3 linked regions of the Oryctolagus cuniculus genome follow. The protein of the gene in region 1 interacts with the protein of each later gene in a pairwise test. Links are inferred from orthologs where the notes say so. Each region holds a gene or a part of one and is shown in the gene's direction. Other genes may lie near its edges.

Evidence for each region.
Region 2: the proteins of MAPK3 (region 1) and DCC interact in a two-hybrid assay, tested with the Homo sapiens proteins (2 studies listed by BioGRID). The link is inferred for Oryctolagus cuniculus from reciprocal best matches to the Homo sapiens genes MAPK3 and DCC.
Region 3: the proteins of MAPK3 (region 1) and DHPS interact in binary tests that used the Homo sapiens proteins (3 or more experiments, as listed by UniProt). The link is inferred for Oryctolagus cuniculus from reciprocal best matches to the Homo sapiens genes MAPK3 and DHPS.

The regions. Positions count from the first base shown.
Region 1 is NC_091450.1:7,472,677-7,476,767, reverse strand, and holds the start of MAPK3 (mitogen-activated protein kinase 3), read left to right. Parts: upstream 1-1,244; coding exon 1,245-1,417; intron 1,418-2,381; coding exon 2,382-2,564; intron 2,565-4,091.
Region 2 is NC_091441.1:25,985,883-25,990,303, reverse strand, and holds the start of DCC (netrin receptor DCC), read left to right. Parts: upstream 1-1,526; 5' UTR 1,527-1,653; coding exon 1,654-1,744; intron 1,745-4,421. UniProt on the Homo sapiens protein: Receptor for netrin required for axon guidance. Mediates axon attraction of neuronal growth cones in the developing nervous system upon ligand binding. Its association with UNC5 proteins may trigger signaling for axon repulsion.
Region 3 is NC_091447.1:62,235,787-62,239,865, reverse strand, and holds the start of DHPS (deoxyhypusine synthase), read left to right. Parts: upstream 1-1,170; 5' UTR 1,171-1,390; coding exon 1,391-1,597; intron 1,598-2,078; coding exon 2,079-2,243; intron 2,244-2,639; coding exon 2,640-2,761; intron 2,762-2,848; coding exon 2,849-2,945; intron 2,946-3,042; coding exon 3,043-3,129; intron 3,130-3,545; coding exon 3,546-3,651; intron 3,652-3,740; coding exon 3,741-3,844; intron 3,845-4,079. UniProt on the Homo sapiens protein: Catalyzes the NAD-dependent oxidative cleavage of spermidine and the subsequent transfer of the butylamine moiety of spermidine to the epsilon-amino group of a critical lysine residue of the eIF-5A precursor protein to form the intermediate deoxyhypusine residue.

The DNA.
Region 1 (4,091 bases):
CATTGGGGCCATTTGAGGCGTGAAGCAGTGGATGGAAGATCTCTCTCTGTGTGTAACTCTGCCTTTCAAATAAAAAGGAAATATATTTTTAAAATTTGATTCATTCATCAAAAAGAAAATTTTTTTAATGTTTCAGTGCCAGGCATGGGGGTGGGAGGTGGGGATCCAGTGAGGAACAAGATTGACCTTGGCCCCTCTCAGCCTACTGAGAGAATCAGGAAGATGACAACCCTCTTGTGAGTTCAATTTTGCCAAATCCAACAAGCTGGATTTTTCTTTTTAAGATTAATTGATTAATTACTTTAAAAGAGTTACAGAGAAGGAGAGGCAGAGAGAGAGAAAGTCAATCTTCCATCTCCTGATTCAGTCCCCAAATGGCCCCAATAACCAGAGCTGGGCCAGGCGGGAGCCAGGAGACTCATCTGGATGGGCCCACATGGACGCAGGGGCCCAAGCACTTTGGCTGTCTTTGGCTGCTTTCTCAGGCCATTAGCAGGGAGCGGGATTGGAAGTGGAGCAGCCGAGATGCATATCGGATGCACCTGCTATGTCACAGCGCCGCCCCAGATTCTTTCCTTCTTCAAGTGTATTTTAACGAAACCTGCCCACCTGGCACGCACGTGGGGGCAACAGCTGGCCCTGCTGCAGCTGCTGGGAGGGCCAGGGCCTGGACCCCACGCCGGCAGCAGCACCTCGGGCTTCGGCCTCACCCTTAAACGGCAGGTGGGTCTCCACGCGGCTCTGATTTCAAGTACACTCCCTCGGCAGCCGAGCAGAGCTGGCTCAAGGAGGCCAAACCACCAAGGGCCGAGAGGACCCCCAGGGGGCTCCCACAGGAGCAGCTCTGGTCCCAGAAGGCCAGGCACTCCGGGGTGGGGGGCGTCCGGCCCCAGCACACCTTGGCCGGGTGGCCCTGGGGAAGTCACCCGCCAGCTGCCTAGAAATCGAGGGGGTATGGACCGCGCCTACAGCCGCCCGGCGCGCCCGCTCCCAGCACACGGAAGCCCGCAGCGACCAAGCACCGCTGCCCGGCGGCGGGAAAGCCGGACGCGCGCGGGGAGGGCCACGTGACGTCCGCGGGCGCGCGCCCCGGCTCCGCGGCGCGCGCAGGGCGCGGGGGCGCGGGGGCGCGCGGGGGCGGCGCGCGGGGGCGGGGCCTGGCGCGCGCGGCCCCGCGGGCGGGAAGGGGCGGGGCCTCGGGCGGGGCCGCCGTGGGGAGGGCGGGCGGGAGGGGAGGAGTGGAGATGGCGGCGGCGGCGGCGGCTCAGGGGGGCGGGGGCGGGGAGCCCCGGGGAGCCGATGGGGTCGGCCCGGGGGTCCCCGGGGAAGTGGAGGTCGTGAAGGGGCAGCCGTTCGACGTGGGCCCACGCTACACGCAGCTGCAGTACATCGGCGAGGGCGCGTACGGCATGGTCAGGTGAGGGGGCGTTCCGGGGGAGGGGGCGGCCTCAAGGGAGGGGGCAACCCCGGAGGAGGGGGCGGAGGAGGGCTGCAGGGGGCTCGTTGGGCCGTGGAGACTTGGAGTGGCCTGTAGAACCTGGGCACTCTGGAGGCTTGGTGGAGTATGCCCGGGATAGGAGCCCTGGGGTGCTTTCTGGGGGAGGGGGCGCTGCCCATGTTCCTAGGGGAGGGGGCTTGGAGGCTTTGAACGGGAGCCCTCCGCCCCGAAGGGAGCAGCGGTATTTGGGTGTCTGGGGTTGAGGGAGCGGTGGCCCTAGAGACCCGCGTGGGGCGACGAGAATCAGTAGTCTTGGTGAACGAGGACCCTCTTTTGAGAGAGGGGACCTTAGGGTGCCTTGGAGTCCCCAAGCGAGGCTGTGCCCAGGAGTGGAGCGGCACAGGCAGGGCTCTGGGTGGGGCGAGGCTTCGGGCCTCCGGGCCTGAGGAGAGGTGGGGAGTGCCTGCTTGCCTGCATCTTGGGGAGGGGTCTGGGAGCTGGCCCAGCCCTACTGTGTGCTTTGGGCCTTTGCACCGACCGGAAGTTGCTCTGCTGTCCTCGGCCCAGACCCGCCCCTCGGTCCCGCTCCCTGGCCCTGTGGTGGGTTGAGGCAGCCCATGGTGGGGAGGGAGGCCCGGGCTTGGGCAGAATGGAAGGGGGTCAAGCAGAGGGGAAGTCAGCGAGTGGCCAGTCTTCCTCTGTTTGTGAAGTCACCGAAAGGCGGCCTGGCTGGTCCCCAGCTTTCTCCCTGGAGAGCCCAGGCCTTCACAGCAGGAAGGAACGAGCATTGTTTATAACTTGGCCAGAGCCCTCTCCTGCTCTGTCCCCTCCCTCCCTGCCCCTGGCCTGGGTGGGGCCCGCTGGGCCTGGTTCCCGCTCCCCCCCCCCCATCACCACCACCATCATGGCCACACCAGCAGCGACGTCTCTCTGGGCCTCTCAGCTCAGCCTATGACCACGTGCGCAAGACCCGCGTGGCCATCAAGAAGATCAGTCCCTTCGAACACCAGACCTACTGCCAGCGCACGCTGAGGGAGATCCAGATCCTGCTACGCTTCTCCCATGAGAACGTCATCGGCATCCGGGACATTCTTCGGGCTCCCACCCTGGAAGCCATGAGGGATGTGTATCCTACCCCTGGGCCTCCAGAGCTGGGCTCCCCCCTGCCCTGCCACCCTCCCAAATGAAGGCAGTGACAGGCCAGAGGCCCCTCCCCCCCTGACCTGCGGCTGTCAGGCAGGGGGACCTTGGACAGGTCCCTTCTTTGCCCCAAGCCTCCATGGGGAGCCTGGGCGCCAAGGTCTCTTTGGGCTCTTTGTTTTCTGCTGTCTGCAGTTATGTGACCTGCTCTGCCCACGGTCACTTCTTGCTGAACAGACTGGTGATTCTTTCTCTCTGGATCCCCAGACTGGAAAGACAGCAGGGAGGAAGAAAACTGCTTTTTCTTGAGGGCCTACTGCGTGTCAGGTGCTACCCCTGCCTTTGGGTCCCAAGGATGAGGGGACTGAGGCCCGGAACAGCCCCCAAGCAGGTGTCTCTGTGGCTGCCTCACCCCTCCCCCACGCGGGAGCTGGTCCTTATCTTTCTCTGGGACTTCCTGCTCAGAGCCTCGCCCTGGTCACCCGCGCACCTGCCCCTTGCCCAGGGAGGGACAGCTTAGCCTTAATGCCCTCCCCCAAGAGTGCTTTTCTTGCTCCTTGTCCACTTCCGGCCTGGCTCAACCTGGCCTTGCGACACACGTCGCCTCCTCGCCACCCACCCATACCACCTGCTGGTCCCAGTCCAGTCCTCCATCCAAGGGTGGGGATTTGGGTGCCATGGCCAGAGCCCTGCCACAGACCAGGGACGGGAGATTTCCATACTCACCCAGCTTGCCGTGTGACCTGGGGCAAGTCACTGCATTTCCCTTTGAGAGAACACAGGAGATCTAGGCCGGGCCAGATGTTCTCTGAGCAGGTGTGCTGTGGGGGGTGTCTCCTCTCTCATTGTCCTCCCACAAACAGGCAGGCATTTTATTTTCATGCAAAAAAATCAAAATACTTGGATAATTTTTTTTTAAGATTTATTTATTTGGAAGGCAGAATTAGAGAGAGAGAGAGGTCTTCTATCTGCTGGTTCACTCCCCAAATGGCCACAATGACCAGGGCTGGGCCAGGCTGGGCCAAGAGCCAGGAGCTTCCTCTGGGTCTCCCACATGGGTACAGGGGCCCAACCTTTTGGGCCATCTTCTACTGCTGTCTCAGGCACGTTAACAGGGAGCTGGATCAGAGGTGGAGCAGCCGGGACCCGAACCAGTGCCCGTATGGGATGCTGGTGTTGCAGGCGGCAGCATTACCCGCTATGCCACAGCGCCAGCCCCCCAGGAGCTTTTTGAAGACCCCTTGAATTAGTGGACTTTGACGGGGTTTTTTGCACCAGAATCAATTTCAGTGATTTTTTTTTTTAAGTCCCCAGTGGAGATTTGAGGCATTACTGGGTGGACCCTGGAGCTGTCACTCTGAACCGGCATGTTCTCCGGCCCTGGACAGCTTGTTAGTAGCCCCATTTCCCAGGGCCGCAGGAGAGAATGCTCGGGGTCACCTGCCGGGGGTGTGAGAGGCCCTGTGCCCTGCTGCTGAGTTCAGCCCGGCTCTTGACAGGGGTTAGCAGATCT
Region 2 (4,421 bases), on another chromosome or scaffold:
CACTTATTCAGCAAAAACATGTTGACATGTGCTGTATTCTAAATCCTCTCCTAATATCTTCAGTGGGAGCAAAGTGGATGGCTTCTGACATCTGCTCTCAAAGGAGCACCAGGTTTCACAGTGAAGGTCTGGTATGCACAGAAAGTTAGCTCACAGAGGCTCTTGACTCTCTCTCTCTCTCTCTCTCTCTCTCTCTCTCTCTCTCTGTGTGTGTGTGTGTGTGTGTGTGTGTGTTTGCTTCACTTTGTGTCCCAGGGACTGGGAAAGTGTCCTTCCTCATTCCACAGACGATCATATTTATCATGCTGTTCTTGAATTATCCATGTATGCTTCTCTCCCAACATATCGCAAAACCCTCGGGGACAGAGACTGAGTCAGACTGAATCTCCTACCCAGATTTCCTGGAAGCCAACAGGGCACCTGGAACATGGTCAGTGCTTTACAAGATGCTGAATAAAGTCTTGGCTCGCGAGTAGAGAAGCGAGAACACAGATGAAACATGATGTCCCGCGAAGACAGGTGTGTGTGTGTGTGTGTGTGTGTGTGTGTTTCGGGACGTCCTGGCCTGGCGTTTGCCCTCTGTGTGTTTAGGGACCTCAGTACCCCACCGGTCCTTCCTAGAAGGAAGCTGGAGTTGGTGACTCTTTCCAGATGCAAATAATCTAAGCAACCTTGGGGGCAGGGAAGGAAGTAAACCGCTTGGCCACCTGCCCCAGCTTAAACACCTGCCTAGGTTTTACTGTCAAATAAAACCAATTTCCTAGCGGTTGAGTGTCAGCAGACGCGCACCAGGTTCGCGGGCTCCATTGACAAAACTGACTTCCCACGCTTAGCCCACAGAGGGCATCCTGAGCACTGATGCTGCGCACCGCCGGCGAACGCAGCCGCCGGGAGCCTCCTCCGTCCGCTCCGCTTTCCCCAAGCCGTCGCCTCTCTGCCCCCACCCCCTTCCCGTGCAAGCGCTGCCCGATCCAGTTCGCTTCCCTCCACTCTCCACATTTTCCCTTCCAGCCGTCCACTCCTCCGGATCAATGGAGAGTACGGTTCCAACTCCCAGCTCGCACGCCGCTGGCAGACACCCCGGTAACAAGTGAGCGCGCTCCGCCCCGTAGCCCCCTGCCTCCCCTCCCGTGGTCCCGCGGCTCCTAGAAGCACCGCGGCCGGCATCAGCAGCTCTCTCGCGGATTTTGCTCCGTAACTTTACCCCGCCGACGACGTGCAGCCGGCCTCAACCTTTGCATGCGCAGCCCAGCCGCGGGATGGCTCCCCGTCTGTCTCCTCCTGGTCCCCGAGGATGCTCTGTGAATTGATGCCCCACCGGCCTCGAGGACAGCTGTCCTCTCTCCCGCGCCTTGCGCTTCCTTGAGTTAATGTCCCCAGGTTTTCCCTGGGCTTGGGAGCTCTTGCACCAAATGGAACTTTTTGCTGCCGCCTGCTGCTGCTGATTCTGGACAAGGAACAAGGCTTCGAGGCAGAAGAGGCGCAGGGGAGGTGGAGGAGGAGGACGACGACGACGAGGAGGAGGAGGAGGAGGAAGAGGAGGAAGCCGAAGGGGCTCGGCGCGAGTGTGCATGTGTGCATGCGTGTGTGAGTGCATGTGTGTGAGTGCCGCCGCTGCCCAGGACCCCCGGCCCCGAAGGTGTTGGCTGAAATATGGAGAATAGTCTTGGATGTGTTTGGGTACCCAAGCTGGCTTTTGTACTCTTCGGAGCTTCCCTGCTCAGCGCGCATCTTCAAGTCACCGGTAAGAGCCTCTTTCCTTTCTTCTCCTCGCACCCCCTTCCTTTGCCTTCTCGGTTCGTTTGGCGACTGCTAGAACTGGGGTGGAGGAGAAAAAGCCATACCCTCAGCGCTCGCTCTGTCCCCCTATTCTCGCCGGTAATAAAAGAAGACTTTTTTTTTTGTCTTTCCCCTGGGGGCGGAGGATGCTGGTAGCAGGGGAGAGGGGCGCCCCTTCGCTCTTTTTTAAAAACCGGGTGCCTCTGGCGTCTTTGCGTCTGTGAATACTCGTGTTGACTTGCAGGGCTGGCGGGCTGAGGCAGCTCATGGGGATACTGTTGAAAGGAGCGAGGCTGGATCTCGCAGCTTCAGAAGCCGGCGAGGGTTCAGGGCGCCGGGGGCAGGTGCAGGAGGGCACAGAAGGGGCTTTGGGGAAGTCTGTGCGGGATGCAGGTGGTGGGGCTGAGGCGGCAGAAGTGATGGTTGGTTGTGTGCGCCTCTCGGCTGGGTTTGCATCTCTGGACTTGCCGATCTAGGACCGGGAAAGGGTTGGCTAGTGAGTGTAGGCTCCTCCGAGGAGGGGGCCGCGGCGCTCAGAGGCACCGAGTTGCCAGGGAAAGAGGGGCGCGTCGGATTTCGTTTTATTTTTGAATGGCCAGTGCCGTTGGGAAGCTAAGTCTCAGCTACCCCCCAGGACACCTCCAAACTCCAAATGATTGCTGAGGAGGTCCGGGGTGGGGGGGAAACGGGCCCGGCCCCTGGGCCAACGCAGTTTCTCATGAAAAATGTCAAAACTGTTTGGAGACAGCAAAGGGCTAGGGCAGGGGAAAAGGGAAATCTGGAAGCCGCTCCGGGCGGCTGCAGTCTCCCGGAAGACAGAGCCGGGAGGCTTCGACGGCCCAAAGAAGAAAAAAGAGCGTCGCGTCTTCTTCTACCGCCCGTTCATTCTGCGGGACCTCTCGTTCCAAGGGACCGGGCGCTGGGATGCAGGGGCTGGCCAGGTGGGGAAAGACAGGGGGCCGGTGGGCTGAGCGTTCAAATCCCTTCCCAAACGACCTTTTCCCCAGTCCAGAGGAAAGGGGAGCCCTGGGTGGGAGAGCCGCGACCTGCGCCTGCCTGGGAATGGAACTCCCTCGTGGCGGCCGAGCCCTGGGCCACCCGGAGCCAGCGGCCTGGGCTTTCTTGCTCCCGCTAGGCGCTGCATGGCCAAGGGTTGCGAACGCGAGCGGAGCACGCGCCTCCCCCGGTCTTGAGGGACCGAGCCCGCCCGAGGCAGGAATCCGCTGGCGCGTGCACACGGACTCGATTCCTCATCGGCGTTTGGCCAGACAGCGCGCGGGAGTGGAGGGGCGTGCGTGCGTGTGTCCCCGCGCGCTCCCGCGCACCCGCCTCCGCGGGCCCGTCGCCTCCTCCCGGGGCTCCTCTCCTGCAGAGCTTTGTCCTCCTCAATTACTCCCGCGGAAGGTGGGCGGGGGGGCATCCTCGCAGTAATGAATAGATGTCTTTAAGATTCCCTGCTCGAGACCTGCGGCTGCTACTGCGGGGCGAGGGACCCTCCTCAGGCGCCAAGGTTGACCTGAGCGCTCTGGGGCGGTCTGGGGGCCGCCGCGGGCCGAACGGGGCAAGTTCGGAAGGGAGCGCTGACCGCGGGGCTGAAAAGTCTGCGGACCAGGGAACCCGAGGCCCGAAGTGCGCCGGCTGCAAGTACTGCAGTAGGCAAGGTGTTCAAAAATGGACAATGATGTCGTGTTAATTGCAAGAAAGCAGTGTAAAACCATTTCCCAAGTGACTTTTGTGTGGCAAGGGGTGGGAGTGAATGAATGGAAGTGTTTTATTACTATGTAAATACATTAAACATCCCTTGCACACTTAAGTTTCTTGTCCAGAGAATGAGATCCAGAAATTGCTTTATTTTGATTCCTTTCTCAACACACAAGCCTACGCCTGAAAAAGCAGAAGAAAAATATACAAGGGATATGTCCACCGATGGACTTGTGGATCTAAATCTTTAAACTTATCTACACTTCTAAAACCAGTTCTGTTGTTTGCAAGTGAATTGTGATGCAGTTTGCACAGTTCTCGGGAAAGCGGATGGCAACCTTTTAAGATACTGGGAATTCAAATCTCTCCGTTCTGCTTTGCTCATTAATCTGAGTTTCACCTCTTTCTTTCAGTAGCAACTTCCCCCCTTTGAGAACATAGCTGGGAATTGGATGATAAAGAAAGCATATTTCATTCCATGAAAGGACCAGTAGGAGGTGCCGTTAATAAGGCCACGCGCCTAGTTTACTGACAGTGAAATTCCCGTTCAGCAGGGTGTTTTAAAGACTTTGTTGATGGGTAACAAAGGATTATGGAGAGCAGCACAATGACACTGGCCCCTTTCCCACTTTCTAGGTAAAGTCTAAAGCTGCTGCAGATTTCTATGAAGTTGTTTGCACATAACAAAGGGTATCCCTGAGCAGGGTCAGCAAAGGGTGAGGACTTGATGCTGGAGGAGGAGAAAGATGGCTTTTTAGTTGGGATTTGTCAGATGCCACCTTCTATGCTTGGCATGAAGCATGGAAGCAGGATCTCCGGATCTGAGGTTAGACAGAAGTCCTAGACGTCAGCTGTTAAAGAATGAAATGAGAAGTATACACATTCATTAATTCCTCATGCATGTTTGGCTGAACAAAACCTACGATGTGGGCATGGTGAAA
Region 3 (4,079 bases), on another chromosome or scaffold:
GGAGTGAACCTGCTGATGGAGGTTTTCTCTATCAGCTTTCAAAAGTAAATAGATAAACAAGCCCAGCCTCACAGGCTGCTGCCTGGCATCGCCAAATACCCCAGGCTGGGGGGGGGGGGGGGCTCATGCAACAGCGCTGTCTCTTGGAAGCCTGGGGAGTAGAAATTGAAGACCTAGGAGCTGGCGGGGCTGGAGGCCTCTCTTCTGGACCTCTCTCTTCTGGCTGTACCCCACCCCCTCCGTGTCTCTGTGTATGCAAATTTCCTCACAGGGACTCCGCATGGACCCTCCCTAATGGCCTCCTTCTAAGTCTATTATTGATTTTTTAAAGATGTATTTGTTTGTTTGTTTGAAAGAGTTACATAGAGAGGAGAGAGAGATAGCTTCCATCCATTAGTTCACTCCCCAGATGGCTGCAAGAGCCAGGGCTGGATCAGGCCAAAGCCAGGAGCCAGGAGCTCCATCCGGGTCTCCCACATAGGTGCAGGGGCCTGAGCACTTGAGCCATCCTCCACTGCTTTCCCAGGCCAGAAGCAGGGAGCTGGATTGGAAGAGGAGCAGCCAGGACTGGAACCTGTGTCCCTATGGGATGCTGGCGCTGCGGGCAGAGGCTTAGCCCACTATGCCCACAGAGCCGACCCCTGTTGTCCTGTTTTCTGCCTCACTGGGTCTCGTTAATCAGTAAATCCCCAGCGTACACAGCCAAGCCCTCATAAACCGCAGAGTGGGTGGACAAAGGGGTCCCCTCCGTGCCCTGCACAAGGTGGGTTAGGAGGGTGTATGAGGTGCTGGCCTCCCAGTCGCTCTGCGGGGTGTGTAGGGGGCGCTGCTGTCCGCCCTGAATCCCAGAGGAGGCTCCTGAGCCAGAGGAAGTCAGAGAAGGCTTCCCGGAGGTGACGGCTGCATCCACAGCGGGAAAGAAACGGGGCACCTGCAGCGCGTGGAGGCTCTGGACACTTGGGAGGGAACGAATGGGGAGCATTATCCCCACTGACGGGAGAAACTCGAGGCTGAAACTGTCTTGTCGACCCCAATCCTGTCTGACAGCTCAGAAGCTCAGAGCACAGAAACATAGGTAAGCGCCGCGCCACGCCACGAGTGTCCAGCAGGTGGCGCCAAAGCAGGAATGTCCAGGCACGCCTAAAGGCCTTACGGCTCCTCACGGCTTCCGTAGTACGGAACACGCGTGCCAAGATGGCGGCGCCCTAGGCCGCAGGAGCCAGAGTATCATGTGACTCAGCAACTTCCGTTGATCCCCTCTCGGATCTTCCCCGAGCCCTACTTCCTGCGCACTTGCGGAGACGCGCGTGCTGGGGCCTAGCGCGCTTCGAGGCCGCCGTGGGCCCGGCCCGGGTGGGGGCTCAGCCGTGAGAACCCTGCCGCGGGGGGCATGGAGGGCTCCCCGGAGGGGGAAGCGCCCGCCGCGGCGCTGGCCGCTGTGCTGAAGCACAGCTCGGCGCTGCCGCCCGAGAGCGCTCAGGTCCGGGGCTACGACTTCAACCGCGGCGTAGATTACCGCGCGCTGCTGGAGGCCTTCGGCACCACCGGCTTCCAGGCAACCAACTTCGGGCGCGCGGTGCAGCAAGTCAACGCCATGGTGAGGCCCGGGGCGGGACTTCCTGGCCGGAAGGGGCGTGGCCTCTAGGAGAGCCAATAGGGTTCCTCCAGGGCGTGGCTGCCAGGAGGACGGAGGGGGTGTGTCGCCCGAAGGGGCGGGGCCCACCCTGGGCGGGAACCGACTGCGAAGCGGCCTTTGCCCGTAGCGTCTGTAGGGGGCGGGGCCTGATTTTTGGTAGGAGATGGATTCTAGGCGAATTTTTGAGAGACAGAAACGGGGAACTCCGTCGGGGCCTCCCACGCGGGTGCAGGGTCCCCGGCACTCGGGCCGTCACCTGCTGCTTTCCTAGGCGCATTTGCAGGGAGCTGGATCGGAAGCGGAGAGCCTGTAGGGCGGGATTTTTAGTCCCCAGTAGAAGTGGCCCCTTCTAGAAAGTGCATTCTCATTTCCGGAACTCACCTTGGGGGGTCCCTGGCGTTTGCCGCCGGAAACTTAACCTGACCCCGGCCCCTGCCCCAAGATTGAGAAGAAACTGGAGCCGCTGTCGCAGGATGAAGATCAGCACAAGGACCTGACCAAGAGCCGCCGCCCGCTGACCGGCTGCACCATTTTCCTGGGCTACACGTCCAACCTCATCAGCTCAGGCATCCGGGAGACCATCCGCTACCTCGTGCAGCACAGCATGGTGGGACTGCGGCCTTGGGCAGTCATTCTTAAAGATTTACGTAGTTATTTGCAAGGCAGAGTGACAGATCTTCCATCTGTTGGCTCACTCCCCAAATGGCTGCAGCAGCTTGGGCTGGGCCATGCTGGAGCCAGGAGCTCCATCCGGGTCTCCCATGTGGGTGGCAGGGAGCCAAGTATTTGAGCCAGCACCTGCTGCCCCCTGCCCAGGATGCCCTAAAACAAGAAGTAGAGCAGCCAGGGCTGCACTCTGAGGGGGGGGGATACAGGCATCCGGAAGTGGTGCCTGTCCCCCAAAGTGGCCAAGCTCTTTCCTGGGGATCAGGGTTGAGGCTGAGTTGGGGACCGTTCCCTGGGAGTGGGGCGGGGGCCCAACTGCACTGCCTTCGAGCTGCAGGTGGACGTCCTGGTGACCACGGCTGGAGGTGTGGAGGAAGACCTCATCAAGTGCCTGGCGCCCACGTACCTGGGCGAGTTCAGCCTCAGAGGGAAGGAGCTCCGGGAGAATGGGATCAACAGGTTAGGGGAGGGGGCATCCCTGTGCACCGCTGGGGGGGGTGCTGAGGCTGGGGTGGGGGCTGATGGCCGCGTGCCTTCTGTCCCCAGGATCGGGAACCTGCTGGTGCCCAATGACAATTACTGCAAGTTTGAGGACTGGCTGATGCCCATCCTGGACCAGATGGTGCTGGAGCAGAACACAGAGGTGGGGGCTGAAGAGTCTTGGGGGGTGGGGAATGGGGTCCAGTGTGGTGCTGGGGGTTAGAGGAGCGTGGGCTGACTGCTGACATCCCCCCTCCCAGGGTGTGAAGTGGACGCCTTCCAAGATGATTGCCCGGCTCGGCAAGGAGATCAACAGCCCGGAGTCTGTGTATTACTGGGCACAGAAGGTGAGGGCCGCTAACACACAGCGTGGCCTCGCCGCTCTGAATTCCAGCAGTCTGACAAGTAACAAGAGATACCGGTGTGAGCTTCCATCCACTGGTGCACTCCCACAAATGGCTGCAACAGCCAGAGCTGGGCCAAAGGCAGAAGCCAGGCGCCTGGAGCTCTACTCGGGTCTCCCAGTGTGGGTGGCGGGGGCCCAGGCACCTGAGCCATCCCTGCTGCCGCTCAGCGCACATGCGCAGGAGCCAGGACTTGAGCTCAGGATGCAGGGGCCTCCTGCCCCGCCCCAGAGTGCCAGGCCGGGGCCAAGTGCTGGGTGTGCGTTTGTCACGTAGGCGCCCTCCTGCGGCAAGCAGAGGGGCCCAGGCAGGCTGCTCCCCAGCCTCAGCCTGGCCCTTCACTGTCTGCCCGCCTGCAGAACCACATCCCCGTGCTGAGCCCGGCGCTGACCGACGGCTCCCTGGGAGACATGATCTTCTTCCATTCCTACAAGAACCCGGGCCTGGTCCTGGACATCGTGGAGGGTGAGGCGCGCTGGGGCCCTGGGAGTGGCAGAGGGAAGGTGGGTGCTGGAGGGCTGAGGCCGGGGCCTGAGCGCGCTCTCTGCCCGCAGACTTGCGGCTCATCAACACGCAGGCCATTTTCGCCAAGCGCACGGGGATGATCATCTTGGGCGGCGGCATGGTCAAGCACCACATCGCCAACGCCAACCTGATGGTGAGCGCGGGAGGGCGTGGGAGCCCACTGGGCGCAGCGCCCCCAGGGCGACGGGTGCGGAGAGGAACAGGCCAGGACCCCCGCTCTCCCGGGGCTGCGGGCCAGCGAGCGATGCACGTGTCCGGGCGAGGGAGGCCCCTGGGAAGCGGGCCAAGTGCCCTGCGTGGGTCTCTAGCTGTGGCTCTAAGCTGGATAGGACCCGACTCGGGCGCTCACTGCTGCCCTCTTGCGGTGG